Linked DNA regions of Lonchura striata. The protein of the gene in region 3 interacts with the protein of the main gene of each other region in a pairwise test. Links are inferred from orthologs where the notes say so. Each region holds a gene or a part of one and is shown on either strand. Other genes may lie near its edges. The genes, in order: AMFR, MID1, UBE2N and LRSAM1.

Region 1 (7,590 bases), on a different chromosome or scaffold from region 3:
TCTATTGAAAGCTGTCTCAGAGCAGTTATGAACTACATCAGACATATATTGCAGTAAGTCTTTCTGTTTCTAGTATGTGTTTAATAAAAGAATTTCCTTGAGGTAGTTTGAGGTCTGATTAGTACTAGATTTTTGATAGATACTGGGTCGTCAGGATGGTGTTCAGCAAGACTGGGTGATTGATGACTGCATTGGCAACTGGTGGAGACCAAACTTTGAACCTCCACAGGTGAGTACTCCCGTGGGCTTCCATCTTCTTTGGTCAAGTTCTGTCTGTACTTCTAAAAGCCTTCAACCTTCCAGATGGGCTTCTTGAGTACCTGCTGCATGAGCAATTTGTTTTTCTGGGTTTTGTCTATTTCATCTCCTTTCTATGACTGAAGAGAAACTACAGCCTTTTTTTTTAATGGAAATTCCTGTCTTCCTTCTCACACCTGTCCTGATGGATGAGAAACCACTAGATGTAGTAGCTTCCAGTTCTACATTGAGACATATGCACCATTTATATTCCTTTTGTAGCCACAATGGAGATTCTTGTACTGCTGCTTGTGGAACATGCCCTAGTCTCACTACCCTATTTCTAAGGGCTTTAATATTGAAAATCTTTGTTTAGTTTGCTTAGTTTGCTTTTATGCATTTCTGTTTTATTGGGTTGTTTTAACTGCTTATGATATTGATGCCACTTTAGAGCCTGTCAATAGTTGTGACAGCAACAGCATTCCTTTCCTAAGTACTTTCTTATGAAAATGGTTTTATTTGATGCCATGAAAGAATAATATATGACACACTGAAAACTTGTACAGGGCTTGATAATTTATAAAGTAGCATTTAAGATTACATAGTATTTTCAAAGCTCTGTACAACTGTTTTTTACCATTTTTCTTCTAGTATCCATATATCCCAGCTCATATTACAAAGCCAAAAGAACACAAAAAGCTATTTTTGGTCCAGCTTCAAGAAAAGGGTAAGTGTTTGTTTGGATCAAAGGGTTGTATTTGTAACAATATTTAAATGCCTGCATTTCACTCAAGGAACACAAAGTTGTGATTGTGTATGTTGTGGTATGTTATACCAAGATGTGTATGCTTGCAGTTGTTTGTGGTTGATCACTAACAAAGTTAAATGCTGGTATTTGTTTTGAAGGTAGATGATCCTTTGAACATGACTTCCTAGTAAATTTTTATTCCTGCTTGCATCAGTCTGTGTACAGGATGTGAATCCCATATTTAACTAAAAAAGCAATAAACCTGGTTGAGTGCTCTATGTAGTGAACTTGTTTTGAGGTCTGTGGGGAATGATGATCCCTTGGCTGAATGTGTGCTGGTTTTTTTGATTCATCAACTTGTATTTGTTTTTAGCTTTGTTTGCAGTCCCCAAAAATTACAAGCTGGTTGCTGCACCACTGTTTGAGCTCTATGACAACGCACCAGGATATGGACCTATTATTTCCAGCCTTCCTCAACTTTTGAGCAGGTATGTTGTATTTGTATAGTGGCTCTGGGAACATGGTTTCCTGTGGGACACCAGAGCAAAGCAAGGTGCTACAGAAACCAACTTGAAAAGGTGGCATCTATCCCAAAGATTCTGCTTCAGATGAACTGCATGGACACTTTTGAGGCACTGATCACAACTGGCTAGCACCAAAGTCCTACCTAGCAGCTGTAGTTAAGGAACACATGGAAGATGTGAGGATGAGGCTGTGCACAGACTGAGGAGCAGCTTCTTGTAGTTGTTGGAGACAGCTGGAGAGTTAAAGCCAGGATGTAAATTTGAAGCACTGAGTTAGGTATGCATATTATCACAGCTTTGTGCTGGTTAAATGTGGTGGGTTTTTTTACACTCTTTAGTAGAGCTAATGAAGTGTAGCATCTTTATGACACAAATATCTGTAGGGACAGCTGTATTTTTTCCTTTCTCTTGGAATGTATACCATGCTTTGACTTTATTACCTGGGAATGGCTGTGGCTTGTCTCTCCAGAGCTCACTGGTCTCTTACTTGAGAGCATGTTCAGGCATACTAGGAGTCCCACAGCCTGCCAGCTCTTCCTCAGGGAAGTAGTTCTGTCACCTACCTACTATGATGAAAAAAGTATGTTAGCACTGGTCTTGCACATAATCTTATTTCCTGCTGAGTATTTTTCTCTCTAGCCCAAATTTTGGCTTCCCCTCCTCTAAAGACAGCAGGTATTTCCTCTTGAGTACCAGCCAAACTGTCATGCAGGTTGGGTAGTGGTGCAACAGACACATGCAAAGGCTGGGCACCTGGAAGCTGAGATGGATTGCTTGCTTCCACAGTTATTTATGAAACTTAGCTGGGAAAAATTCTCTCTTCAGTATGTTTGTGTGTTCCCCTTGGAACATGTAAGGTTGGTCTAGTAGCAGAAGTGCTGCAAAAGAGTTGCTGATGGAGGAATGTAACTCTCACTGTGATTTATGTATCTGTGACCTTGTTTTAGGACATGAAATGTTAATAGTTAGTTCTTCTCAAACCATAAGAGACAGTTGTGCAATGCTAGTGTAGGATTGGCTGTTAAAAATGATATATATACTGCTATACTGTAAAGCTGTCTTATGAAAAAATGTACTTTTGTCCTGTCAGGTGGAGGCTTATCCAGAGCAAAAACAAAACATTTGCTTATTCATTCAAAAATGCCCTTAAAAAAAAGAATCAAAATTCCTCACTTGGTATAATCCTTTTAATTTTAGGTTCAACTTTATTTACAACTGAGTTCCTATATACCTGAAGACTCCAGTAGAAGAAGCCGTCTCTGTGAGCACAGCTTTGAACTGTAGAGAAACGAATATGTGTGACACAAGGATTTTTTGAAGTCTTTCTGTTCCTGAAGACCACTAAACATTCTAGGGTATGAACAGAGAAGTGAATTTCAACTGTTTAGCTAGAGAGATGGCAATGGGCTACCAGTGTTATAATCCCTTATCATTGTAATACTCACCAATTTTTTGTTTTGTACAACATTAAACAATATGGTTAAGATTCAGTTTGTCTTGGGTTTGGTTTGCTTTTTGTTGTGTTTTTTTTTAGGTTTTTTGTTTGTTTGTTTGGTTTGTTTTTCCTTCTGTTTATTAGTTCTTTTATTTTTCCTTATTGTCTCTTAGATGCATATTTTAAGCTTTATTATTTTCTTCAGGAATACAGATGATCTTGGAATGAGGAGGAGCTAAGCCATTCAGGGCCCATTCAGATGCTGGGATCTTTATCCGTGAGAAGGGAATATCCCTAGGATCAGGGAGAAATGAAATAGCTTAAGTGGATTCAATATTGTTTTAAGTCTAACTTGGAGACCAGAACTGCTTTTTTGAGGGAGAATGAGTACTTAAAGGCAAGCGTAGCCTTTACCTTTTTTACCAGAACCGATCGGTTTGTAACAGGGCTTGGAGGAGATGCAGCATGCATCTGTTCCTTCAGTGCCCCCTTGAGACAGTAACAACCCCAAAAATTCTGTTGGACTGGTCTGAGCTGCAGTTAAAATTGGGAAAGTGAGGTTAATTTTGTATATTTTTTCTTAGCTATGGGACAGAATTAGGGTCATGCTGAAACACTTAACCAATGCCACATGCAAGTGGTTCCATGTTATGCTGTCCTGTGCCGTCTCATCCTGCAAAAGATACCCACTTTTGCTTTTTCTCAACATTTCAGTTTCTTGTAGGCAGTAAATATCAATCTTTCTACTTCTGGGGATTTTACATGCTTGGCTAAACATAAAGTCCATTTGGATGTGACACTTCACAGTGCTTTTAGTCTTCCATAATTTTGCTTAATGAATGAGTCTTTGAAAGATTTGTTTCCAAGTTCTGCCTGTGATCAGAAGATGCACTGTTGCTTGTGCACTGTCCTCTTTTATGAAGGCAGGGTTGGAGAGCACCTGCTGCCAAGAGAACCAAATCTTGCCAAAGTGCTTGCTTCTGCTGCCATCTGCACTGGTAAGCAACGTACAGAACAATCCTGACAGCTTGGTGGTCAAATTGAAGCTGTGCAGTATGGCAAATGTACTGCAAAATGCTGGGAGAGTGCAAGGGCTGTTCACTTTGGTCCTATGGAAGGAAGGCCCAGACAGATGGTGAGTAGAATATATGGTTTCTCAGCTACCAGCTAGGGGAAATACAGGTAGCAGGAGAGTGGAAAACAGAATCTTTTTGCCTGTGGAAGTAAGAAAAGGCAGGTGGAAGTTTGGAAGTCAGATGCTGCAAGAACAAGGAGCAGAGTGCAGCTTTTGAGCCTTGGCACTTAAGAGCACCTTTCACCTTACCACACGGTAGTTTGCGAGACTAATTCTTGTTCCAGGCTGTCAGTGGAAGGGCGCTGCTCCTGCAGTCTCTACGCTCTCTCTGCCACCCTGCCTGTAGGTTTGGGGGCTCCCGAAGGCCCCTCTGCTTCCCCCCGGCGCGGCTCCGGCGGTGCGGCCGCTGTCCCGGGCGCGGGCGGCGCGGGGCAGGGCCGGGCCGGTGGAAGCGCCGCCCCGGCCGTGACTCAGCGCGCGGGGTGACGGGCGGACGCGGCGCCCGGAGCCGGGGCGGAGGGCTCGGGCCCGGTCTGTTTCCTTTATCCAGTGGGGGCGTCTCGCCCGGCCCCGGGGAGGGGCGGCGGGGCGGGCGTTAAGCCGGGGGAGCGCGCCGAGCCGGGGCCGGGCGTTCGCGAGGGCTCCGCGATGCCGCTGCTGTTCCTGGAGCGCTTCCCCTGGCCCAGCCTCCGCACCTACACGGCGCTCAGCGCCCTGGCGCTGCTGGCCGCCGGCCTCAGCGCCTACCGCGCCCTCAGCCAGGCGCCCGGCGGGGCGGCGGGCACCGAGCTGGCCGAGCCGCAGCGCTGCGCCGGGCCGCGGGCCCTGGACGTCGCCTACTACCTGCTCTCCGACAGCCTCTGCGTCTGGGTGAGCCCGGGGCGGCGGCGGGGCCTGCGGGCCTGCGGGGCTGGCGGCGGCCTCTGGGCACCTCCCCGCGGCCGGGGGCAGGTGGGCGGGCCCGGGGGGAGTTTCGTTATTGTTGTTTGAAAACTGCTCGCGGAATAGAGAAGGGGGCTCGGCTGGCTTTCCCCGGGCCGCCTCCGCAGCCGCTTCCCTTCCTGCCTGGCTGCGGTGGGCAGCGTTAGAGCCGAGTTCAGCCCGCGGCTTGTGCTGCTCTCCCCGAGCGCCTCCGCTCGTCCTGCCCGGGGGGCTGGGAGAAGCTGTCGGGAGCGTTTGCCGCGGTCCCAAGCGCTCAGCTTCGCCAAGCGCTGCCCGACCTGCTCTGCCAGAAATCAGAGTAAGGGGCTGTCAGGTACTCGAGCCTTGCTGCCTTTGTTTATTTCCTTTTAAATAGCACTGAACGTTTGGTAGGTAAGAGGAAACATTCTCACCGTTTAAGGAAAAGAAAAAAGAGAAAATAATTTTCTGTACTTTTTAAAACCCAGACCTCATAATGGCTCATGATTTTTGGCTCACTGATTTGCAGTTGAAATAAAGGCTCAACAAGGCGATATTGGATACCTTGCTGAGTTGTTGCTGTTGAACTTTTCATCTGTCTGTCACTCAAAGGTGGCAGTAGTTGGACATCCACTTCACAGCATACTTACTTGACCGAGGTGCTGGTTTTTAATATGCCATATATATTCATCCTGTTGAAAATTCGTCTTGCAGCCTTAAGAATCCTGGACAAGTGATGTCCTTTGGAAATGACAGGGTGAAGCTTCTTCATCATCTACCTTCTAGCCTTTTTAGTGTCCTGCTTAGGTCAAAAGTTAATTACAAATCCTTTTGTCAAATATGAGATAGCAGTTTTCCCAGGCCCATGTGCTCTGCTTCTTGCTACTTTGCTGTAAAGAAGTTTCCTAAGAAAGCCTCAAGCCGTGTTATTACGGAAGGGATATGTGCTATTCAGCATATTTTGAGGCAACCTCTGAATCCTCTTACTGTAACAACAGATTCAAACTGGATTTTTCTCATCTGCCTTATGTTAAACAAAAGGAGCATCTTGGTGATCTCTAAGCTTTGTCCCCATGTTCTTTTATGAAATTTTCTAATCTGTATGAAATAATTTGTTGTGAAGTGGTAGAGCAGTTTGTTGGCTTTACTGCTGTATCAAACTGAATGTGTTAGTATTTCTAGAAAAAAAAAGCTAAGACTTATCAGCTACTTCATGTGTCTTGGAAGAGGCCAGGCTTAAATTTCATCAAAAGAAAAGGCAACTAATACTGTTCTGTGAACAATGACAGGTTTTGTTAGACTTGTTCATTCCCCTTCTCTCACTTCTTCTAAATAGGGCAAAAGTATTTGTCACTGACTGCTTTATTTCTTTCCAGGTATTAGTGAACACTGCCTGCTGTTTTCTGATGCTGGTTGCTAAGCTAATCCAGTATATGGTGTTTGGTCCTCTTCGTGTCAGTGAGAGGCAGGTGAGACAGCAAACAAGGAAACTGAAACATAACAAAGTCACATGGTGTGATTTTCTATATGGAATTGCTGAAACTGCACAAGAAAAATAAATTTTACAATGGATGTCTTACCATTTGGTTAGCTAGCATATCCACAGCCACATGCTTCCGGTTTATTTTGAAGGGAATTTTTCCTGTTGTATTTTATAAGCCCCCAGTCAGCTTGAAAAATCCTGTGTCTTTAATGAGCTCTGTTAGATTTCTTACAAGCACACCTCACTTCAAAACACTTGTAATGTGTTCTTCTCTATTCTGCCTGTACCTGGCAGCACTTCTCCGTTGCATTTTGTAGCTGTCAGCACTGGCAGTTTTGAGTTCCCTCTTTTGTACCATAACTGCTGGAGAAGTGCTTTCCAGCCTCATACACTGAGTAGATGGTTTATCAGCCTGCAGGTTTAAGAGGCAGTAGGCAAGAAAATCCCCAGAGAAAGGAGGTGAGCAGGACAGAAAACAGAGGATGTTTAGTCCTGCTCTTGTCTATGTGAGAATGTTTGTAAAAATTCAGCAAAGGAACTGTGAAAGCAGAGTTTTTAAAAACAGGATCCTGCAGAAGATGAAAGCAGCAGCAAGACCTTGAATAGTATCTCTATATATATATTTTTAAAGCAAGGCAAATGCATAAGTTGCTCATGTAAATGCAGGAGCAGTGGTTTGGAGTGTGTTCACATATTAAAAAAAAAGTCTGTAAAAAGAGTTCCATAGGAGGAATCAGTCCATGATGATTTTTGGCATGCAGAACTGAGGCACACAAAGCCTCATTAATAACTGTGAATCCCTCAAAGCCTATTGCATTTGTAATTCATACCTTGTAGAGGCTCTGAGTGGTGTATTAAAACCAAGACACTATCAAACTGCAATGGGCCCGACTTTTTCTGCAGTCCATGTTGACTGTAAGGATGTGGAATTTTAACTGGTGATGGTTTCCAGGATGTTCTTTACCCTCTTAAAAACTGAAGTGAGAAGCAGTAGCAGTGTGGGTCCATTTGTGTTTAGACAGTGGGAGTTTGCCTCAGTTGTCATGTAAAGGAAAGCTGCTTATTAATACTGGCGAGCCCGAAACAGCAGCATCTTTAAGGAACTCAGGGCCTGTTTTAACTAAACTCCTGGTGATTTCATCATATACTTTAACAAAACATTTTGTTTCATAAATTTCTTAATCCCTT
Region 2 (7,444 bases), on a different chromosome or scaffold from region 3:
AAACTCACCAAAAAATCACCAAACTCCAGCACAACACCACTGTGGCAGGTCCACCTCCACAATTTTTTATGTGTTTTGAGAAGCAATATTACTGTTTTGATCTGCACAGACCTTTCAGTTGTAACAAACAGCAGATAGCTAATGACTGCTGAAACATATTTAGATTGCTCTAATTTTATAACTGAATGTTACGTTTGCTTATGCGTTTCCCTCTACCTTTGGAATTTTGTTCTGCTTTAACTTAATAAAAGACATTTATAGCCAAGATTTACTTCTTTATGCATGTGATGTTGGTGGTGATCAAGGCCCTTTTCCAACAATAATGGCCATATAAAAGTCCATGTATCTCTGCTTTTAAAAATTGATGGGATAGAAAATTCTCTCTTTCAGACAGGTAATTTTGGGACTGTTTGGCAAAATAATTTTAGTATAGTTCCTTTACCATGCAGAGCTATAAAATCAGGTGTGAGTTCTGTTAAGTTAGATGCCTGTTTTTTCTCCAAAATACAGTTTGGAAATTTAGAATTCATAAAAACTAGGAAAGAAGTAGCAGCAAATACATCTCTTTCATCTCTGTAAACTAAAGGATGCTGTTGAACAGTTCAGAAACACTTAACCAGAGTAATTTCTCTTTTAGAGAACTGAGGATCTTTAACTGGTATATACAAAGAGGACATCCTGCTTCTGGTTCACTTGCAGTGAAACCAAGGATGTGAAATAAACCTTGTACCCTGGAGATATTGTACCTTTGCCTACAAACAACCAGGAGAAGCCTAACCAGAAATACCAGTTTATTGTCACTTGCTAGGACTGACACTTATCACAAGAATAGGTACAAGTACATGATGAAGACCACCCTAAATTAAATTTTATTTTTAATGTAAGGAGTATCTCATAGTTGTGGTGGTATTTCAAAAGTCATGGCCATATCTAGTGGTGCAACACAAAGAGATTAATTAACTTTCCCTTCCTTCTAAAGCTGTTAATAAGCTAGAGAGAGGGAAAATTTTATTACAACCCCTAAAACACTACTGTCACATTCTCATATTAATACTACATTCTTATGTTAAAGCACTGAATTTTTCTATCCTTGGGTCCCTCTAGCAGATCTCATTAGTGGTTGTTTTTGTGGAGATTTTTGTTTTTAAGCCAAAAGAGAACCATAGTAACTGTGCGTTTCCCAAACCATTTCATTCATGAATGGGAAATGAGTCTCCAAATCTTTACTCACATGAGTAACCACATTGATATCCTTAGGCCTTCCATTATTAGCAGCTAGAACTGAGTATAAATCTGCAGGATTTGGATGGGGCACTTCATTACTTCATAGGAGTGAAATCTGTAGCTGAAATCAATAGCTAAGCATGTGAGGCATATAAAAGATACACATTCTTTCATGGAGGTCTGATTGCAATGCATTTCTCAATTTTGTTTCGGTATCAACAAATAAGCATATCATTGTAAAGAGACATACAGACTATAGGCAGTAATTACAAAGACACATTTTAGATAGACATTCTAGCCTCAATAGAGGAGTTGGGAATAGTCCATCAGAAAGAACAGAATAATAGTGAAAAAGGTCAACACTTCCTGAAAAACTAACATAGTAAGTCACAGACCAAGTTTTTGGTTTTCTGTCAATCAGTAACGTAACTGTTGTCAATCATTCCCTCTTACCTTGTTTGTGATTTTTGAATGGCCACAAAAGAAACTTTTGTTGGCAATTTTGGTCTTTACAATTCATTTGAGTCAGAGGCAGGATTTTCAGAGCCTGCCTGTGGAATAGGCATGGTGTACCCCAAGCTGCGCTCACGTATGTCCGACCAATTCAAGCTAAACTTTCCCACGATAATATGAAAGGAAATAAAAGATTCTGAGCAACACAAGTTACTATTCTAGAAATAACAAAAGGAACAGGATAGCCAGGATCTTCTGGTTTAACTTTTTTTTTTTTTTTCCTTTAAGTTGATAAATATATTAACTTTTCCTTTGGAAGGGTGCAGTTAGACAGGATATGCACCTGTACATCTTGGATCTTCTGAAAGAGTATTTCTAGTCTATGCCTAAGCACATGCTTCCCATTACACTGATATTTTGCTAAAAATTACTGCCAAGAATTAAGGCTTCTTCATTTATTTTTTTAAATTCCTGAATTCCCCTAGAATTTATTCTTTCCTCAAGTATTCTCACCTTCCACAGATACATTTTTGTTTTGTTTTCTTTGGCTATCAATTTATCTTGGCCCTGCTGAAAACATGAAAAGATTTGTGAAGAAAGGCTCTCACATAAAACCCAGTTTTGGAGTTGATTCAGCAAAGTAACAGATCTGATAACATCAAAGCAAGAACATCTGAAACTAAGAATTAGGCAGAACAGATTTTTCAACAAATTGCAGCTTCTAAAAATTTACCCATTTCCAAAGAGCCAAGTCTGTTTATTTGCTTATTTTCCTAACTTTGCCAAAAGAAAGGCTCAAACAACTTTGGAAAAACAACAGCAAAGTTGTTCAGCAGAAAGCAGCCCCAGCACTGTAAACAGTGCCTCTCCCCAAACTGCAGCTGCACAAAGCAGAGACAATGCAGGGACCCTCAGCATCATTAACCAACTTCCCTTCCTCACCAGACACTCGCTTCGATAAAGCAATTACAATAGCACCACGGAACAGTAGAACAAGGAAAAAAAAAAAAAAATAACCTTACCAGCTTCTCCTACAGTACACAGCTGAAAGGAAAACAAAACCCCCAGCTGCCGTATCGCATGCAATTGGTCTCTGAGAATGAACTGACTGAAAGAACTATGAAAGGCTAAAGTCTTTCGGCCCCTCTGTTCAGCCTCTCTTCAGCTCCCACTCTCCGAGCTTCCTCACAAAGCCATTCTCCCAGTCCCTAATCCTCGCACAGGAAAAGGCAGCCGCACCGAACGCCTCCAGCAGGAGCGATGCTCCGGGGGTGGGGGAAGCGGGATGCTGCCGGCGCTCAGCCCCGGCCCCGCCGCATCCCCGGGGAGCGCAGCCACAGCGCGCCAGGCGCTGGGGCGCAGCGCCCCGGGCACGGAAAAGTGCCCCTCTCCAGCCATCGCCCTCCCAGCCACTCTCTTCTCAAATGAGAACACCCCTGGGTGCTCGCCAGAGTCCCCGGCATGCATCTCAGTTAGCCTGCACTGAAATAATTAGGCTTTTTTTCTTATTTTAAAATTAGCCACGTGACTTCCTAATGCTCTTGTTGGGCCTTAGATATTTCTTTTTCACAAAGAACACGCAAATAAATCTTAAATATTTCAAACAGGGTAAAAACCCAACCAAGATGTTGCCCCAGAAAATCAATACCAAAATTATAAAAAAAGAGATCCCAACAGACACAAAATCAATAGCATTATGAGGCACCGAATTAAAAAAAACACTGGTGCCTCCCTGAAATGCTTCTGATAGCTACAATCAAAACAAGCAATTGCATTTTTCACAATAAGAGAAGGATTCTATCTTCATTTCCAGTTTATGTAAAAAGAGACAACATTTTTTTAGTACAAATTATCTTGAAAACATGAGACAGATATTGAGATAACATCCCTGCATAGCCTCTGCTTTTCAAGAATGTATTAAATCTTTGTTAAAGAAACACAGTTGTCATAATAGTTCTTAGCACAAGTTTTACTGCTCCACAAGATGCAAAGTACTCAGAAACAGGCAGCTGCCACAAAGTAAATCAAAGACCTAGAAAAGCAGATGGCATAATTTCACATCTTAAATGTTGGCTGCGAGCCTTCCAGTAATAATTTATAAGGAGACTTCCTCCTGCCTGTTCTTCTGCTTGGCAGCATGCTGTTTGAGCCTTTCAAACAAAATAAATAGACTTCAAGCCACCAGCTTCACACACACTAACACTTACCAATGCTATTTCAACCTGACACAAGCTGACTTTGTTCCTCTGTGACCCTGGAGAGAAAACCAAGGTGACAGTTTGATGGATGCGATCTCTTTTCACAATGTGGGTTGTGACTTCACAGTCCTGTCCCCCCATTATTGCTTAGCTGAAGGAGGAGACAGGAGGAGAATCTTCCACCATACAGAGTCATTTTAACAGTGAACCAAACATGCAATAAATGCCTGGAACACATTTTCCTACCTCAAAAATGTGAATTTAAGGGAATCCGTTTCCACTTTTCTTGGAGTTCGGGTGTTAGGGCAGAAGGAAAAGGCTTCAAGAGGAGGAATTAATCCAAATTGTTTATCTCAAACATATTTTAGTTTAAGAAAATAACAACATCACCAGAGAACAAAGGAAAGAAAGAAGGAAAGAAAGAAGGAAAGAAAGAAGGAAAGAAAGAAGGAAAGAAAGAAGGAAAGAAAGAAGGAAAGAAAGAATTTTGTTTGTTTCATTTATAAACAAAGAACACTTTGACTGTGACTTTTGTGAATTATTTCTTAACTGTGCTAATTCAATTATTGAACCATGAATCTTGAACAATTCTCTACTGGACAAAGGTCTCACTGCAGTAATCTGAGGCAAACAATTGCAATGTGATGTCTTTTATTTATTACCTAAAAGACATAATAAAGCATCAGAGGATTCATATATCTTAAAGTTGGTGTCTGCAAATTCAGTATTTGAAAGCAGATTCTCTGCTAAAATGAATTCAGAAATCCTTTTACAAGATATTTCACATAAAAATCCTCCCAGATTTCACAGAACTCTTCATGAAGAAATTACCTTTCCATTAAAAAGGTTGAAAAAGGAAGATGGTGTATGAACTCTGAAATGCAAGGCTCCACCTCCACATTGATCTCATTAACATCCTAATGCCTGTAGTTGGCCTCTGATTTCCTTAGAGCAGAGGACAGGTTGTTAATATGTTTCAGTATTTCTTTCTGATTATTCATCTGATCTGATGGGTTCATCATGAATACTGGAGGGCATCAGACCTCTGATTTTACAGGTGGATACTGGGGCCAAATGACTTGCCTCAACAAAGTCTCTGTCCAGAATAGTTCACCCTTGGCCAGTGATTTTCATGCTCCAGAAGACAATTTCTGAAACCAGGGCCATGTTTGAGATTAAGCTTGATATGGTATGTATTTGTAACACAAATTATGTTTCTATTATTTCTAGTTTGAGATTTGATATTCACAATCTGTCAAAAAAGATGAGCTCCTGTTCATTCTTCCAAAAAATTGTATGGTCTTTTCAAAAAGATGCACTTTGTTTCAAAAGAACAGTATTTAAGTGTTTCCATATTTACAAATATTTTTATTTGAATAGAATTAGACTATCTGTGAGGTAGAACTCAACTTATGATACTGAAAGATAATCAAACAAAAGACAGAAATTTATTGATATTCCAAAAAAAAGTCAAAATCTGACAGATTTATGCAATGTAATATCAGCAATTATCGAGTTTCATCAATTCAAGTAAAATTTTTAGGGGTTGGTTTGTTGGTTTGTTTTTGTTGTTTGTTTGGGTGTGGGATTTTTTTTTGTTTGTTTTGTGGGTTTGTTTTTTTTTTCCTAAGAACCAGCTTAAAATTACACTCTTGGTTTAGGTGACCCCATTCTGGGACTTAGGGGCTACTAGCATGGTGAAAGTCATGTGGTATGAATTTCAGCCTTTGAAAAGAGGTTTTAAAAGATGTACTTGTGAACCATTTATGTCCCAATTACAGCTTCTAAACTTCCACCATTGTTTCTTTGCTTCTCCCTAACAATCTGAGAGCATTCCCATTGTAAAGAAGGAAGTACCTTAAACATTTTAGAAACAATAAGGCCTCTTCACAGACCAATTGATATAAATACATTAGCTCTAAATAAAAATGTTTGCACCATCCAGGAGGTGGTTAACTGTGCTATGCACAAATGAGATGAGCTCTACCGATCAAAAGGAAGAATGAAGCATGAAAAATGCAGCCACCTTTGTACTTGGAAGCTGGCGTAGAGGAACAAGAAATTCACAATGGGACAAAAGCTACAGGCACCAAAATTTTGGAAGAGCTCATTTTTCTCATTCTTGTAGCTTTCAGAGTCATGATAAATATCTGAAGGCATCTGAGTTTTAGGAAATCACAGCAGGTTTGCACACTCTGCTCCATAAGTTTTTCTCTGCTTGCTCACAACCATGTCCACTTATCTGTATAATCTGTCCAAAGCACTTTTTTTTTGCACAATATTTACTACTTTCCATGTTTCTAGGATTAACAAAAAGCATAAGGCTCTTGGATAAGGCTTTCATTTGGATAACAGCCATACACTTTTAATAGCAATCATAAGAACAGTTCAAAGAATCTTTCCTACAAGCAGAGTGGTGCAGACAACTGCACTGCAAAGATTCTAGCAAAACTAAAGATTCCTAAGCTCTTTGAGACTCACTGGTGACTGCACTCTGATTAGTCCAATCTACTGCAGCTCTTTGATTTTTTTTTTTTACCCTAAACTCACAGTAATTCTTAAAGGCAAGTGTAGAAAATGGAATCATAGAACAAGTTGGAAGGGACCTTAAAGATCATCTGGATCATCTGGAGATGACATAGCTTTATAAACAGAAGAAAATGCACATATTAAAGATACTGACTTTTAAGGATTTGATTGAGGAATATGAGTTCCATAGTCAGTAGATGATCTAAGAGTACACTTTTTAATGAGCTCCTTAACACAGTCAGTAAATTTTAAAAGTTTACTATTCAATATTAATGTTGTTTAATGATTGATGCACATATAACACATATATGTCGAATTTCAGGGCTATTCTTTATCTACTTGGACAGATTTTTCTTCTGAGAAAGCAGTGGGATACCAACTCTGCAAACTGGAAGAGGAATGACTAGGCAAGAAGGAAGGAAGAAGTAGCAATGAGAGAACACAGTAAAAAACCCATAATTGGGTAAAAAGGGAAAGAAATTAAAAACTCTGATGATTAGAGTCACTTGAGCAAGAATGTTACCGAAGTCAAAGTTTCACTTGGTTAAGGCTTATCTAATAGCATATCCCTGGGGTTTGATCTCCATGGGTTCAGCCTAAACTGTCTCTCACTTTTGTACCAGAGTAGATGAAAGCAAGGATTCAGCAGTGCAGCTGGGTTTACATTAGGGGTGTGTGTGAAGCTGAGGATGTCTAGCTTGGAACTTCAAAGTGCATCAGCCAATGCTGGTGCATCAGCCTGCAAACTTCAGTAAATATGTCAGTCTTTCTAAAGTTAAATAGAAGAGCAAAATTAAAACAGCAAAGTAAAAGAACAGCATGGGGCCTGCACAACACTAAATCTTCATTACTCCTTCAGCAATAAGATACAAGGAGCAACAAAGAAGTTCTCTGTAAATTTGGCAAGAAAACACATTCTGAGTGTCTGTTCAGAGGCTTTGGCAGATGTGGCATGCTGGTCAAAGATAAACCAACACTGCAATTTTGGACAGTGGGGTATATCTCTTGTACAGCCAGGAAAAATGCCTCCTCACCTTCCA
Region 3 (7,851 bases):
ATGGAAAATTAGGACCTGGCTGTTGTAGCTCTTTTTCCTGCAGTAGCATATTTAGGAAATTGTTTCTTAGGAAAATAATTCAGGCTAGATCATTGGCAAACTGAATATAATACACATTTATTATTTTCATAGAAACCAATGTTTCAAAATATTCCTAGGAATAAGCATTTGGCTTCTTTTATTTCCTTTTAAACTGGCAAGGTACTACACAATCATACGTAGAAGTGGACCTGAATTTGTGAATGGATGGATGTGTTTCATTGCAAAGTTGTGTCTTAACAATGGGGATGGATGGGTCTCCACTCCTGAAATGCTGTATCTTAATTTCTATGAGGTTATTCCTATAAATGTAGAAATCAAATTTCTAATGAGACACTATAGTTTAGTTATGGTCTTAATTCTCAAGTTTTCTCAAGTTATGTTGTAGACAGACAGATTTCTGTTTTAAGTCAGTCTATAAACACCCAGAGAAAATATCAAGGCTTATGTCAGTAGGCCCTCTTTATTCTTTAGCATATCTCACACCATCTCATCACTGGTCCATCCTGTTACTGATAAGGAGGCAGCTGCAACTGTAAATAACATATGACAAAATGACAGTGCCTCAGCAGTCATATGTAGCCTAAATATTTTGTGTTCCTGTTGATTACCATAGTTCAAGGAAACAATATTGTCTCTATTCAAGCAGCCACTTAATGAAAAAAATCAAATATTATTCTCTACAATGAAGGCTCTTACTAGGATCCTGTGGGAACTCAAAATGTCTCTCAGACATTTTTAGAGGTTCCAGGCCTTGGTCAGAAGCATTCTAGACCCTGGCAGACAGCTGAAAAACAACTGTGATTTTGAGTTTGAGCCATGGAATGAATTACCAACTTTGGAGGTGGAACAAGCAATCACAAAAGGTTAGATAGTATAGTATAAGTAGTTACGAAGTAGAGGGGAAATTTTTTTAGTATTGTACAGGGGGGTTTTAGCACATGTACAGGGGGGTTTTCACTTTGTACATGGGGGTCAGAAGTTCTAAGATGGAGGAAAGTGGGCTGATCCCATCCTTCTTCCTTCTTCTTCCTTACCTCCATGTTCTTGGTGATGTTGGCACTCACAGATTGGTTTAGAGTAGAAAAACACTTGGCAACGTAGGTAGTAGGTATTGGGGAATAATTGTAAACATGTTATACGTAATATATCTTATAAAAGATAGCAGCAACCCTGGGCGGAGGGAGAGACGAAGAAGACAGCAGATAGAGAGGATGTCAGGGTGTGTGTGTGCCTCTACCCAGGCCACTGATCAAATAGCTGCAGTCCAAGAACATAATCTGTTAGATAACTAGCAATAAACTGCCTTGAGACCGAACAGCTAAGCCTGCGGAGTTTTTCTTTGGAAGCACGGGTTGGAGGAGGAATTTCACCACCACATGTGGCCCCAAAACAAGGCTGGGGTTCCCACAGGATCCCATTTTGATGTTCTAAGTTGGTAAAACATATAACTAGTGGTGTTTTTTTCTTCTCTCAGTACAGTTTCACCCAGTCCTACCAGTTTAGATAATTCTGAAATTGTCCAATGACACTTTAAATTACTGCTGAATGAAAAACACTGCACTTCTGTGGCTTAGTTTCCTCCTTTGTACATAGGCATCATAGCAACTCTTGTGGAATTACTCTGGGATTTACTGAACATTTTTAATATAAAATTTTGATATTACTGTGAATATTCATTCCGTATGTGTACATACATACATCTGATTTTTGCTGTAGAACAGATTTTCTACAATATTTGGCAAAAATATAGAAATGCTTTTATGCAAAAATAAAGAATCTGGCATTTGAAAGAGAGTTGTAATTACAGTAAAACTTCTATAAGATTGCAAAGAGGGCTAGGAGGAGGAAATAAGATTAGTCAGCCACAGGCTCAGCTGGCCTGGATGCACCCACTCAGTGAGTAAGTCTGGTAATTTGATGACAGCAGAAGCTGTGACAGGAAGATGGTCAGCAGCTGTATTGAATTGTTCTGGGTGTATTAATTAATTGCCTAATTGCAATTACTTCTTTACCTTCCCTGCCTATAGTAGCATTATAGAACACTTTGTTGGTGAATAAGGTGGTTGCCTAACTTTGTTCTTGGAACCACTGTAATTCCGGCAATGATGTGATAATCACAGATTTGTGGGAGGAGGATTGTGTTGTCCATCCTGGCTTTTGTAGTGGTGCAGTGGGATAAGATCAGCTCAGCCAACAGAACAGGTCACTGCTGCGGGAGGGGATGGTCCTACACCTGCACCTTCTCACTCGGTTTCCAGCTGCTTCTCTTGTGCCAGCTCTGATGCCTCAGTGAGCTGGTCAGAAGGGTAACTTAGCAAAAAAAAAAACCCAAAAACCCAACAACAACCCCCTATACTCCAGTAGATACATAGCAATGACAAGACTGGATCAGGAATGTAGAGCAGGGAAAGGGAGCTGGACCTCAGTGCTTCCTGCAGCTTCTCCTAAAAGCTGAGGGGCATCTAAAGCTAAATTAATTACTCATGGATACTACAGCATACAACTTCACTCCCACTTCTATTACCTTTTGTTGTCTGGGGCTTGCCAAACCCCAGTGTAAGACAAACCAATTCACCAGTCCAGCAAAAGACTACACTGAATGGCTGTTTTTCTGCCAAGTTAGTATTGCATCAGCTCAACAGAATGAACAGTGGGGAAAATGCTATGTGTAAGGAAGGAAGGTAGAAGGAGTGAGGTAGGAAAGGGAAGAAAGAAGTCCTGTTTTTAAGAGGTTGACTCAGCTGCTTGGTCTACCTTAACCTCAAGTATGTGCTTCCACACTATCCCTAGTGCAGGGGACTATTGAAAGTCCTTTTCTCACACCCTCAGGCATGGGTTCCAATCTTGTTTATGCTTCACCTGTAGAGCTGTGTGGCTGCCTGTGGTTCACAGCAGCTCACTGCTCACCCAGGAACCACTTGTGCTTTTGATCAGCTTGTCTTAGGTGAGAGATCATGGTGTGAGCTCAGGGAACAGCAGTGTGTGGCAGAGGAGGAGGGCAGCAGCAAAGCAACTAAAAAGTGGTGTGCCCTTGACATGAAACTATACAGTCAATAACCCGCACTGTGGAGGCAGGCCTTGGTGGAGTTGGGCTGTAGGAATGAATGCCCATTTGAATGGGGACTACAGGTCCCCAGTCTACAGTTGGTATTCTGGAGTAGCCAGTTTGGGTGGCTTTTCTAGCCCAATATGGATACTCGGATCTCTGCAGCAGTCCTTCTAGGAGCTAAAATAGCTTAGGGGAACAATCTAAATTTTTGTAGATATGACAACAGAAATCAATGTATTTGTTCACTGCCATCTCCTGATCAAGTGGACTTCAAAAGCCCTTTCATAAAAGAAGCCAGAAGGAGATGTATAATGAAAACTTCCAGGATGTGACAAACCACTTGTGCAACAAAAGCTGTCAAAACATAATAAGCCAGATTGACTTAACTGCAACTTCAGCTGACTTAACTTCTTGCTTCAGCTGTAACTTCCAGCTGAAGCAAGATTCCTGGTCTACAACACTTGAAAGGAGACACTGAATTCAACACCAATGAGCATTTATTTGAGCCAACTGTGTTCCACTCAGTTGTTGTGTCTTACAGACTTTCAAGAAACTTTTGGCCCATGCTTTCTTCCATGTATGCCAGTCCTTTAATGGAATATTCTGGGAGAAGTGTAAAAGAGAAAAAAAAAAAAAGGGGTGAAGGCAGAAACAAAGAAAGAGAAGTAATTCAGTATGCACTGTAACAAAATACATCATTTTCCAATAACTTTTGTCTTGAGGGTATGGACCAATGAAGATGCTTTGAAATCTAAATAAGTGTTGGAGTCATGGAGTCTTTCGCCTAGATTTGCAATTGCCAGAGAACTTTACTTTCTACCAGAGTACACAGAAATTATGTCCTGTTTTAAACCGGAAGAAAACACTTGATAGGGACTCATATGTACATAGGGTTCTATTCTTTGCTGTGCTGCTGACCTGCTGAGCAACCTATGGGAAATTAGTTCATCTTTCTGTGCTTTTACTTCCCATAAATAATGACATACATTCTTAGATGTTACTATTACTATACATCCGTAGTAATGTCCTAGTATGCTCGTGCAATAATTATACTGCAATGTTTACAATATTCCTCTTTCTGCTGAAAAAGAACAAAGGTTTGCTAACTAGGTGTTATTAAGACAAAGATCACAGAACTGTTAGGGAAGATCCTATTTCCACCTTCCCTGCCCAGGCAGGGTCACCAGGAGCAAGTGATACAGCAACATGTCCAGGTGGGTTTTGAGTATCTCCAGAGAGGGAGATTCCACAACCCCTCCGGACAGCATCTTCCAGTGCTTTGTCACCCTCAACATAAAGTTCTTCCTCATGTTGAGATAGAACTTCTTGTGTTTTAGTTTATGGCCATTGCTCTTTGTCCTGCTGCTGGGCACCACTGAAAAGTCTGGCACTATTCTCTTGATACCCACCGCTGAAATATTTTTATGTATTGATGAGATTCCTTCTCAGTCTTTTCTTCTCTAGACTAAACAGGCCCAGCTCCCTCAGACTCTCCTCGTTAAGAGAGATGTGCCAAACCTCTCATCACCTTTGTGGCCCTTTGCTAGACTCTGCCAGTAGTTCCTTGTGTTTTAGGCACTGATGTTCTAAGGTAGCTTTGAGACAGGTTTAGGAACACTCACAGAAGCTAAAAGTCAGGGACGAACAGACGCTTGGCGCTGACAGCGCACGGCCCCGCTGACGGCAGCTCCTCAGCGCCCATGCCGGGCGCGGACCCCACACGCCCATCCCTGTATCCTACGTTTCCCGGCGCCACGCGCGCAGGGCGGTGCCGCAGGAAGCGCGGCGCGGGTCTTTCCGGCCGTGCGCGCGCCCCGAGCGGAGGCGCGCCCCGAGCCTGCACCGACGAGACAAGATGGCCGGGCTGCCCCGCAGGATCATCAAGGTACGGCCGCGCGCCCTGCCCGCCGCGCGCCGCTCCGCCATGCCGGCCGGGCGCGCCGACCGCGCCGGGCCGGGGTCCGCGGCCGAGCGCAGCGCCGCGCCGGGCGCCGCTTCCGGTGCCCGGGAGCTGGGCCGCGCTAGGGCAGGGCCGCCTCCCCGGCCTCCTCCCGCCCCTGCCGGGCGAGGGGCTCCTCGCTGCCGTCCCGCCCGCGCCCCCGCCGCTTCCCGCCGCCGCCGCGGGACTCCCCTCGCGCCGTGTCGGCGCGCGCGGGCGGCGGGAGCGGCCGGGCCCTCCCGGCGGGCGCGGGCCCGCGCCCTTCGCGGGGATTGCTCGGGCGGCGGCGGCGCCCCACGGCCCCCGCTGCTGCCGAGCGCTGCTGTCTGCACAGCCTTCGGGGTCCGGAGCTCGAAGGACACCGGGCACATCCCCCGCTGTCTTCCGCCGACCCAGCGGCTCCTCACTGGGGGCTTCCGCCAGGCCCCGGCTTCCCGGCACAGCTCTAGGCGTGCTTGGCCCGGGGGAGGGCGGCGGTGGCGCCGTGCTCGGCTTCCTAGTGTGCGGTGAGGGACGAGCCACAGCGAGCAGTTAAACCTGGCCACAGCTGTGTGTGCGTCGGGACATTGGCACCAGTGGTCCACGCTGGGACAGCCCGGTTACTGCTACGTTTGCTCGGAGCTGTCGGCCCTTACTCTATCAACGTGTCGTGCTGGTGCTTCGGTATCATGTTTCGACTGTGATTTGCCAAGCTTTGCAAGGGCTCTTAACTTTGGGGTATTTTCAGCAGATCCTCCGAATTCGGTTCCAGCATAAGATTTGAGTAATTTGGAGACACTTATTGGTAGCTGTATTGCAAGCTATCAAACAGCTCGGTCCTGTAGCTCACGTGGTTGCTCCTGCTGTGCTGCTGTCTCCTACTCGATTTGTAATGGTGTGAATTGAAGCCCCTGAATGGATGATCATTCTCTTTATAAAAGTTATTAAGTGATTCCATTAAGGTTGGTTAGCCCTCACAGGAAATGACAGCATCCTCATAGCCTGTTACAGTGAATGGATGTTAGTTTTTAATACTCTGAAGCTCTCTCAGTTGGTAAACACTGTAAATAAATTAATTTATAAAGTTTTAAATAGTGGACAAAAAAATACATTATTTTTGTCCAAGAAGTCAAGTTATCAAGTAGGTGATAGAGATGATGAGGTAAAATAAGGCAGTAGTGTTTGTCTTCTGTGAAATGGAGCTAAACTACAATTAGTGCTCAGAATTGTAAGTAAGTAGTAAAAATAAAGAAGACAAATCTTACTGATTTTGATGCCTATCCAGCTGTCTGAGTGCACACCATGCTAATCTGAAGTATTTCAGGTGTGATAGGGAACAGTGATTCATAATACAGTGGAACTGGTATTTATCACAGAGTTGCAGTAAGAGCTCAGTCATGAGGCTGGTGTCTGCATTAAATTTTCATTGCTTTTGACAGATCCCCAGAATACAACCAAGAAGTGCACTCACTTATGTTGGTGCATAAATTTTGTTCCTGGTACTTTTGTTTTCTTCATGCTTTTCTAGAAAAAAACGCTAGCGCAATTTACACAACTCACTTCAAAGATATGTGGTGATGTGGGACTGTTTGTTTTCCTCCTGGAGAAGAAAGGTGGAGAGCAAAAGAGAGTCTTAGAAACTCCAGATTTTCTGTGAAGGAGCCCCCTTAGACATATGATGGGTTGGGTGTTTGCATGTGTGCATTGGAAAGTTGTCTGCAGCCAGTCTAGAGTTATTAAATCTTGGCTTGGTTGTGTTAGATGATCAGCTCTTCAGCTGCTGTGCTGTGCGTGCCTTAGGTTGCCACATGTGAGTATGATCTAGGACTTGAGTCTGACTAGTTACTAGAGCCTCAAAAATGTGCAAAGTCATATCTTGAAATACCACAGCTGCAGAGGTGTGGACCCAGAAATACTCCTGCTTAAATCTTTGGGAGTCTTGAGTGAGAATTGTTTTGATCTTTTCTATCATGCCAATTTTGACTTTAGTGTTTAATTTCCTATTCTGGATGCCTTAGAGGGTGGGTAGGGAGTGAACTCAGTTGCTAATGAGAATTTGAAAGATCAGGATAGGAAAGAGCTGAGTAATGTTAAAATAACTCCAGTAAATAAAATGAAATCTTCATGCTATGCACAGTAATAAATTTCACGATAAATACATGGCTTAGGTTACTTTTAGGAAAAGATCTTCTCCCTTTTTGCCACATGCACCCTTTGTGTTGTCATCCAGGAGAGACCATCAATGGCTTCTTGGGGCTAGGAGATTGTATTTGGACTGTGATAAAGTCCTGAGCCTGGCTGGCTGCTCAAAATGCAGTTGGCATTCCCTGTCTTGAGCGACTGCTGGCAGATGGCCGGGCTCTCAGGTTGACTTGCAGCCCTGTACTCCTCAGCCTGCGTCTTTGCTATGTGCAGGCTGTCATCCAGCCCAGGAGGAGAGCAGGAGTTTTCCTTGCAGTGGCAAGGACTCTGTTTATGTTTCCAATACTTCAAATTCAATGAAAAGGTGACAGTATGGGTGTTTTAAAGCAGTTGTTGCAGAAGATACAGAATTATTCCCAATTTACTGTCCTCAGATTACTTAGAAACGGATTTTAATAAAGTGTGTGTGGGAATGGTCTGTAAGTTCAAAAGGTGACTTGCTTTAGAATTATGACTGTTAGCATATCACAAATGGTGAGTAGAAGACATTGATGTAGTTTTGAATCTTAAAAGACGTAATCAGAATTGGAAAACATTGTATCTTTTGAATAGAGAAGAGGTATTTTTGTTTTCTTCAGTAGTTCAACACCAGGGATCCTATGAGAATTGTCATGACAAAAAAACTATTAATGTAAGATAA
Region 4 (7,638 bases), on a different chromosome or scaffold from region 3:
GCCCTCAGGCAGCATGGGAAAGGAAAGTTACAGGTCCTGTCCCAGGAGAACTCCCAGTAAGGAAAAGGAATCATTTTTCCAACTGTTTCCAGCACTGCCAAGTGGAGGGAAACCCACACAGGACAGCCCCGACAGCACGAGCTCCTGAGACTGGGGGTTCACACCAGACTGGATTTCCAACACCGGGGGCACAGAGATTTTAACGGAGTTTAAAGCAGAGCTGCTGCTGGAAGGGGCTGCAGCCTCTGCCAGGCTGCCCTGCCTCAGGCACCACAGGCGTTTGTGCAGCTTTGTTGTGGAATCCCGGGCAAACCTCAGCTGGAAGGGACCCAACCCTCCCCTGGCATCGCAGCCAGGCTGGCCTGGGGTGAGGATGGGGATCCCACTGCCTCTGCAGCCCCCTCAGCCTGTGGCCACTTGTCACACAAGGGTTTTCTCCCCCTGTACTTTTTCAGAATTTGTGCCACACAAACCCTTGGAGAGATGGGGATTGGGCAGGTTTCAGAGCAGGAGGAGCCACACCTGACCTATTCCAGAAGCATCCAAATAACTCCCAGCTTGAAACATTGGTAACATGGTTAATTCCAACAAAGGAACCAGAGAATCACAGAATTCCTGAGCTGTGAGGGGCCCACCAGGATCGCCCAGCCCCTGTCCCTACCCCCCAAAATCCCACCCTGGGCATCCCTGGCAGCGCTGGCCAAAGGCTCCTGGAGCTCCGGCAGCCTCGGGGCCGTGCCCATTCCCTGGGCAGCCTGGGCAGTGCCAGCACCTCTGGGTGAAGAACCTTTCCCTGATATGCAGTCGTTCCCTCAGCATGGCAAATCCCTGAATTTCACCTGTATTTTTTTTCCTGGCTGCCGCAGAGAAAGGCCCTACAATCAGCTGGGGGGAAACAGATGGAAGTGCAGAGCCACAAACTGTCCTGGTTTTGACTCCATCAGCTGCATGTGGAGCTGGGGACAGGGAGAGAGGGGCCAGCACAGGCCTGGAGCCCAGGCAGAGCTGCCCAAGGCACAGCCACACCAGGCAAGGACAGACACATCCCTGGGCTCATGGGATTCCCATGGCTGGGAATAGCCAGGTCAGGCTTTGCTCAGTTTTACTTTAGGAGTGAGGAACGTGCAGCTCCCCTCCACACTGACAGGGATAGTGACATGTCCTGGACAATGGGTATCTGCCAAGGCTCGTGGATTTGATAAAAATGGGTTTTTTTGATCATGCCTTTCCCATGTCACTACAGCCCCACTTAAGGCCCTGTGGCCCTCAAGTCACCGGGGCAGTGACCCAAATTTCATCAGGGAGCAAAGGACACAAATGGATCTCATTTTCAATAAACAAAGCTAAACCTTCTGCTCATTCCTCACCCCATTATTTAACAACCACACTTCCATCCCTGCCCAAATCCCTCTGGAACAGACATGGACACATCCCAGCAAAGGTGCTGAATTTCCAGAAGACAGGGAGAGATTCCCCAAAGCAAAATTCACAGCATGGGACAGGGACAAATCAAACCAACAAGTATCTGCAGACAACTGGGTCTTTATTTTAGTATTTAAAGTGCTACAAAAAATTGAAGGAGCCTTCATGTGGCAACTTCCTTTTCTGCAGTCTTAGCTCTGTTGGAAGAAGCAAACACAGCTCATTAGTGGAGTCTTTCATTAATTAGATATTGTACAGCAATTTGAGTCAGAGCTGGGTACTTACAGCTGGGCACTCGATGGCACCACTGTTGATATCATCGATGATGTCGTGGGGGTGTCTCCCATCAATGCTGCAGCCCACGGACTGGGCAGTGCCAAGGATCTCCTTGATGGTCCCTGAAGCAGCAGACACAGCTTGTCACTGCTCTCCATGGGAAAACATCTGAGGAGCTTACCTGGAGCAGCCTGGGCCAGGCAAGGTGTCCCTGCCCATGGCAAGGGGTGCAACTCAACAAGCTTTAAGGTCCCTCACAACCCAAACCAGTGTGGATTCTGACAGCTGCTCTCAGCTGTCCCTCTTCCTTCAGGGGTTTGCAGGCTGGAGCCTCAGGGCTCAGCAAGGAACATCAACTCCCTCAACCAGACCTCACACCCTGAACTCCCCGAAGAACACACTGCAAACCCCCTGTGCTCCTCCCCAGGTGCTGGGGCTGCCTGCTCCCTGCAGCAGAGCTCAGTTCAGCCCTCCCTGGCTGGCAGTGGAGCATTCCCTGCAGCCCAGCCCTGGACTCACCCGAGAGCTCCCGGGCCAGGGAGCGGTGCCGCATCTGCCGCGCGATGTTCACGATCTCGTCGAAGGTGACGCTGCCGCTGTGCTTAACTGGGAGGGAACAGCAGCAGTGAGGCACCTGGGCACTGCCAGCTCCCCCTTTCCCCTGGGAGCACCATTCCCAGCACTCGGATCACATGGAGAGCTGGGGGTTTGCAGCTCCAGCAGGGCTGCTGTCAGTGCTGCTGCCCCCAGACTGCAGCACCCAATTACCCCCAACTCCTCTAAGCTGGCATTTCTGCAGCTCCCCTGGCTGTGCCAGGCCCTGTGCTACAGCACAGTCATGGGGCAGGGGCCTGTTCTACCCCAGCTTTGCCCAGAGCAGCTGTGGCTGCCCCTGGATCCCTGGCAGTGCCCAAGGCCAGGCTGGACAGGGCTGGGAGCACCTGGGACAGTGGGAGGTGTCCCTGCCATGGCAGGGGTGGCACTGATGGGCTTTTAAATCCCTCCCAACTCCATACTCTCCTCAAACACAGAGCGCAGCTGATATGCATCTATTGGTACCCTGGCACTGCAGGGATGCCCAAAACAGCCTCATGTCCCCTATTTACCAGTTTGTGCTGAATAATCCCAGAGAAACGTACTGGTATTCCCCTTCTTTTACACCCAAAATATTGAGAATCAAACACAGGGGAACACTTACTGTTCTTCTGCTTCTTCCTGTCACGAGGTGGCTCCTTCAGAGCTTTGATAATCAGAGCAGAGGCAGAAGGAACAACCTCTATCTAAATACAAAAAAATTAATTTCCCCCGCCATTCTACATTACTATGGAGACACTCAATCAACCTGTTCATTATCTCAGCAAAGGTAATTGCCAGCAGTGTGGATTTGATCAGTTCCCTCGTACTCCAGGTTTTTTTGTGCTGCAGGAATCTGTTCCCAGGTTTTCGGCACAGGCCTCCCCACAAGCAGGAGAGGACTGCTTCCTGCCTGGGGCTTCCTCTCAGCTCACCACTGGAATGTACCAGCCACAGACAACAGAACAGGTACGGTGGCAGGTGGCTACAGAAGTTGACAAGATTTTAAATTATTTATTTCTATGCTGCTTTAAGGACTTTTTTTTTTGCTGGTTCAATGTTCCGGAAAAAAAAAACCTATCTGCAACAGGATGGAAGTTGAATTTTCTCCTCCTGCCTGACAAAGCCCCATGGCTCCACACACATCCCCCCACCCGCGTTTTAAGGTCTTCGCGGAAGACCCCCACACGCCCCATGTGTGGCACTCATTTTATCCACCTCGGAAGGATGAAGGGCTGAGTGGACCCTGCCGGGATCCGGGCCGGTGGCTGGAGCAGGCGGAGCCCGGCTGGGCTCCACGCCTGCAGCACCGGCCGGCCCCTGCGGCGTGCGGTACCTGCGCTTGCCTGTTCTGGATCGTCAGCTTCACCGTGATCCGCAGCCCCTTCCAGTCGCCCGTGGCCTTGGCGATGTCATCGCCCACCTTCTTGGGGGACTGAGGGGCGACACACAGGTCACACACGGCTCGGGTTAAAGCCGAGAGCCCCAGCGCTGCCCCGGCTGCTTCCCAGCGCCTTCCAACATGTTTCACCCTCCCTGGCCTCCTCCTCCCCAGCTCTCCCCGTCCCCAGCACGTACCAGCCCCAGCGGTCCGATCTTGGGGGCCAGCGCGGACGTGGCTCCGACCTCGCCGCCGGTGCAGCGCAGGTAAACTGCGGGGACAGCGCCGTCAGCCGCGCCCCGCGGCCCCCGCCCGCCTCCCGGCCCGCTGCCCGCCACCTACCCACTTTGATCTCGTTGGGATCGAACTTGGGCGGCATCGCGGCGGCGGATGGCGGCTATGGAGGCGGATGGAGGCGGATGGAGGCGGATGGAGGCGGATGGAGGCCGGAACCCAGGCCTTCTCGAGGCAGCCGAAAGACAGCCTGGGATGCGCGGGCCTAAGATATACCCGCCGAGATCTCGCGAGAGGCCAGGGAAATATGAATACCAGCCGAGATCTCGCGAGAGGTGGCGAGCGGGCCGTGGCGGCATCTCTGTAGATGTGCGTTTGTATTTCTATATATCAATCGATAGATAGATAGATAGATAGATAGATAGATAGATAGATAGATAGATAGATAGATAGATAGATAGATAGATAGATGATAGATAGATAGCAAAATGTGGACCATATGGAAGGGTGGCAAGGCACTGGCAGGGGCTGCCCAGGGCACCGGTGCAGTCCCGGCCCCCGAAGGTGTCCAAGGAAGGGCTGGCCGCGGCGCTCAGCGCTCTGCGCTGGGGCGGAGGCGGGGATCAGTCCCGGGCTGGGCTCGGTGATCCCGGGGATTTTTTCCCATCCCGGAGAATTCCCGGATTCCGGGCGGCGCGGTCCTCCGGCCGCCAGGGGGCGCTGCGGGCGGGGCGGGGCGCTCGCGGGTGCCGCTGGTCACGTGAGGCGGCGGTGAGGCGGCGATGGCGGCGCCGAGCGGTGAGCGGGGCTGGGCGGGGGGATTCGCTGTGGGACCCGCTGTGGGGCCCGCTGTGAGGCCCGCTGGGGGGCCCGCTGTGGGACTCACTGTGGAGCCCGCTGTGGGACCCGCTAGTGGGACTCGCTGTGGGACTCGCTGTGGGGGCCGCTGTGGGACCCGCTGTGACACTTGCTGTAGGACCCGCTGTGGCACTTGCTGTGGGACCCGCTGTGGGACCCGCTGTGGGGCCCGCTGTGGGACCCGCTGTGAGACCCGCTGTGGGACCCGCTGTGACACTTGCTGTAGGACCCGCTGTGGCACTTGCTGTGGAGCCCGCTGTGGCACTTGCTGTAGGACCCGCTGTGGGACCCGCTGTGAGACCCACTGAGGGACCCGCTGTGGGACCCGCTGTGAGACCCACTGAGGGACCCGCTGTGGGACCCGCTGTGGGACCCGCTGTGGAACTCGCTGTGGGACCCGCTGTGGGACCCGCTGTGGGACTCGCTGTGGGACCCGCTGTGGCACTTGCTGTAGGACCCGCTGTGGGACCCGCTGTGGAGCCCGCTGTGGGATCCGCTGTGAGACCCGCTGTGGGACTCACTGTGGGGCGCTGGGGCTGCGCCGGGCCGGCACCGGGCACCGCGGGTGCTCCTCGGAAGGGCTCCGGAGCAGGCGGCGCCCGGAGCTGCGCCGTGTCCGCGCGGAGCGGGCGCTGCCCTCGCTCACTGTCGCTGCTCTCCCCAGGTGTCGGGCCGCTGCCCGAGGGCTGCGAGCCAAAATCCCGACAGGGTCGACTCAGCCCTCCATCCTTCCGAGGTTCTGGGCACTCGGGCATGGAACGGCGCGGTAATGGATGAGGGAAGGGTAAAGAAGATGAGGAGCTTGGAAGTTGTGTAACCCTGGGAGGGGGATCCAGAGAGAAGAAGAGAAGAGTAGTGATGGTGAGGGAAAGGAAGGACTGAGAGGCTGAGCCCTGGTGAAGACAAGCGGAGATTCGTTCCAGGCATTGCCAGGGCAGGCTGAGGCTGTGGCAGCTCCAGCACAGAGAGCAGACGAAGCAGGACAACGAATTCCAGAGCTGCCGTTCAGCTGCTGCCTGCTCTGGGCCTGTTCCAGTGCCTGCAGGGCTGGCTGTGGCAGCCTGTCGGACAGCCAGGGCAGCCTGTGGCTGCCTGGTGACACCTCTGTCCCCAGGGCCAGGCAGCATCTTCAGGAGCCCACCCAGACGCTGGCTCACTGCTGCCTCACTGTGCTCCTGGGTGTGTTTTCCCAGACTAAATAAAACATCTCTTCTTTCCACACCCTCACCTTGTCTCATTACAGTGCCCAAATGGATTTATGGTGTCCAGAATGTTTTGAAAACTGAGGCTGCTCCCAGAGCTGTGTTGTTGTGTTTGAATTACAGTTAGTAAAATGAAATGTTTGATTTTCTTTTGCTGTCATCACCCCAACAGCTGCAGACTGGGAAACACCCAGAAAACATTGCTGTGCTCTTCCTGAGTGTGTGGCTACTCCTCAGGCAGAGCTGGTGTCTGCAGGGAGCAGGGGGATCAGGACTTGGAGTCTGTGGGTGCTCACTGCCTGCAGGGAGCAGGGGGATCAGGATTTGGGGTCTGTGGGTGCTCACTGCCTGCAGGGAGCAGGGGGATCAGGATTTGGGGTCTGTGGGTGCTCACTGCCTGCAGGGTGGCTGCTGGCCTGGGCACTTACAGGCAGTTATTTCAGTAATTTAATAAATAAAAATTAAAATTACATCATATAATGGTCACATGCCAAGGGCCTTTTTCATTCCTGGCTGCTGAGTTTGATGTGTCTTCACTAAAGCAAATTTCCACTTTTGAAAGCTGTTCAATCCATTTAACAAGTCTCTGATCCTTCATCTTGTGATGCCTGGAACAATTATTTTCCTGTTCACTGTCTGCCCTTCAACCTTCACATCTTTATCCATTTCCTTGGGTGAAAAGTGATGATTTCCCACTGTCCCCATGACCAATGAGATCTGGCTGGAATAGGGAAAAGTGTAGTGGGACAAGGGGATGCAGAAATGTTCAGCAGAGTTGAACATGGTCATCCATTCAAGGATATTTTATTGCACCTGTATTTTAAGGCACTTTTGCCTTCTGCTTTCTTATCTTGAAATCTCCTTTTGTTTGTGCCTCTGATGTCTTGCCCTTGATTCTGCCCTGTGTTTCCCTGACAGTCAGCTTCCCTTCTTGTTCAATTTGAGTTCTGGCTGTCACCTTCCCCCCTGGGAGCTAGGTCAGAGCAGCATTTCAATAATTAATAATCAATAACAGTGTGACCTGGTTAAAGAGGCAGAAATTGGGCTGGCAGGGACAGAGCCACAGAACTGCTGGAGATGAGTTTGTAGCCACCTCCTGCCGTGGCCCATGGCTTGTCCCAGTGAGTGCTGTGACAGCAGGACAGTGACTCAGGGTGCTCTGCCTCCTTGTTCCTGCGGTGAAAGCAAGAGAGATGAATTATACTGAATTATGTTACTTTCACACTGAGATTTATCTCTGTAAAGATTTGACAGAGTTTTTGGAAGAGCTCTCCCTGCTCAGGGAACATCCCTGGCTGGATCCTGTCAGTACCTCCTCCTCAGGAGCCTTTGAGGCCAGTTTGCAGACAAAGCTGGCAGAGAACATTTTATGTGCAACCCCTGAGCCCTGAGTGTAGCTGTGCCAGTTGCTGCTCCACTGGTGAAGCAGTGCCTCTTTTGTGCTGATTTGTAATTGCTTAGGAATTGTAAGCAGTGTTTTAAAAAGTCACTGCAAGTGTTTTAAATGTTACTGCCCATTCAGGGCTCGCTGTTGCCCTCCTGCCCTTCTCTAACTCCCAGTCTCACCTCCCAGCCAGGTCCCTCTGGAGTCCCTGTCCAGGTGCAGCCCCAGCTCAGGCTCTTTCTGCTTTGCCCATTTGTGCCCCCTGGTCCTGTGCAGCCACAGATAAACCCCTTTTTCTCCTTGATGTC

Evidence for each region.
Region 1: the proteins of UBE2N (region 3) and AMFR interact in a two-hybrid assay, tested with the Homo sapiens proteins (2 studies listed by BioGRID and IntAct). The link is inferred for Lonchura striata from reciprocal best matches to the Homo sapiens genes UBE2N and AMFR.
Region 2: the proteins of UBE2N (region 3) and MID1 interact in a two-hybrid assay, tested with the Homo sapiens proteins (2 studies listed by BioGRID and IntAct). The link is inferred for Lonchura striata from reciprocal best matches to the Homo sapiens genes UBE2N and MID1.
Region 4: the proteins of UBE2N (region 3) and LRSAM1 interact in binary tests that used the Homo sapiens proteins (3 or more experiments, as listed by UniProt). The link is inferred for Lonchura striata from reciprocal best matches to the Homo sapiens genes UBE2N and LRSAM1.

The regions. Positions count from the first base shown.
Region 1 is NC_134615.1:15,556,572-15,564,161, reverse strand, and holds the start of AMFR (E3 ubiquitin-protein ligase AMFR), read left to right. Parts: upstream 1-4,579; 5' UTR 4,580-4,667; coding exon 4,668-4,889; intron 4,890-6,295; coding exon 6,296-6,388; intron 6,389-7,590. Other genes in the region: NUDT21 (cleavage and polyadenylation specificity factor subunit 5), read left to right, coding at 140-229, 889-964, 1,359-1,473, 2,707-2,728. UniProt on the Homo sapiens protein: E3 ubiquitin-protein ligase that mediates the polyubiquitination of lysine and cysteine residues on target proteins, such as CD3D, CYP3A4, CFTR, INSIG1, SOAT2/ACAT2 and APOB for proteasomal degradation.
Region 2 is NC_134604.1:97,753,013-97,760,456, forward strand, and holds the start of MID1 (E3 ubiquitin-protein ligase Midline-1), read right to left. Parts: upstream 3,011-7,444; 5' UTR 2,700-3,010; intron 1-2,699. UniProt on the Homo sapiens protein: Has E3 ubiquitin ligase activity towards IGBP1, promoting its monoubiquitination, which results in deprotection of the catalytic subunit of protein phosphatase PP2A, and its subsequent degradation by polyubiquitination.
Region 3 is NC_134607.1:53,630,292-53,638,142, reverse strand, and holds the start of UBE2N (ubiquitin-conjugating enzyme E2 N), read left to right. Parts: upstream 1-4,849; 5' UTR 4,850-4,946; coding exon 4,947-4,976; intron 4,977-7,851. UniProt on the Homo sapiens protein: The UBE2V1-UBE2N and UBE2V2-UBE2N heterodimers catalyze the synthesis of non-canonical 'Lys-63'-linked polyubiquitin chains. This type of polyubiquitination does not lead to protein degradation by the proteasome.
Region 4 is NC_134624.1:4,617,215-4,624,852, forward strand, and holds the start of LRSAM1 (E3 ubiquitin-protein ligase LRSAM1), read left to right. Parts: upstream 1-4,637; 5' UTR 4,638-4,684; intron 4,685-7,638. Other genes in the region: RPL12 (large ribosomal subunit protein uL11), read right to left, coding at 1,614-1,619, 1,708-1,820, 2,218-2,304, 2,897-2,978, 3,608-3,706, 3,850-3,923, 3,995-4,031.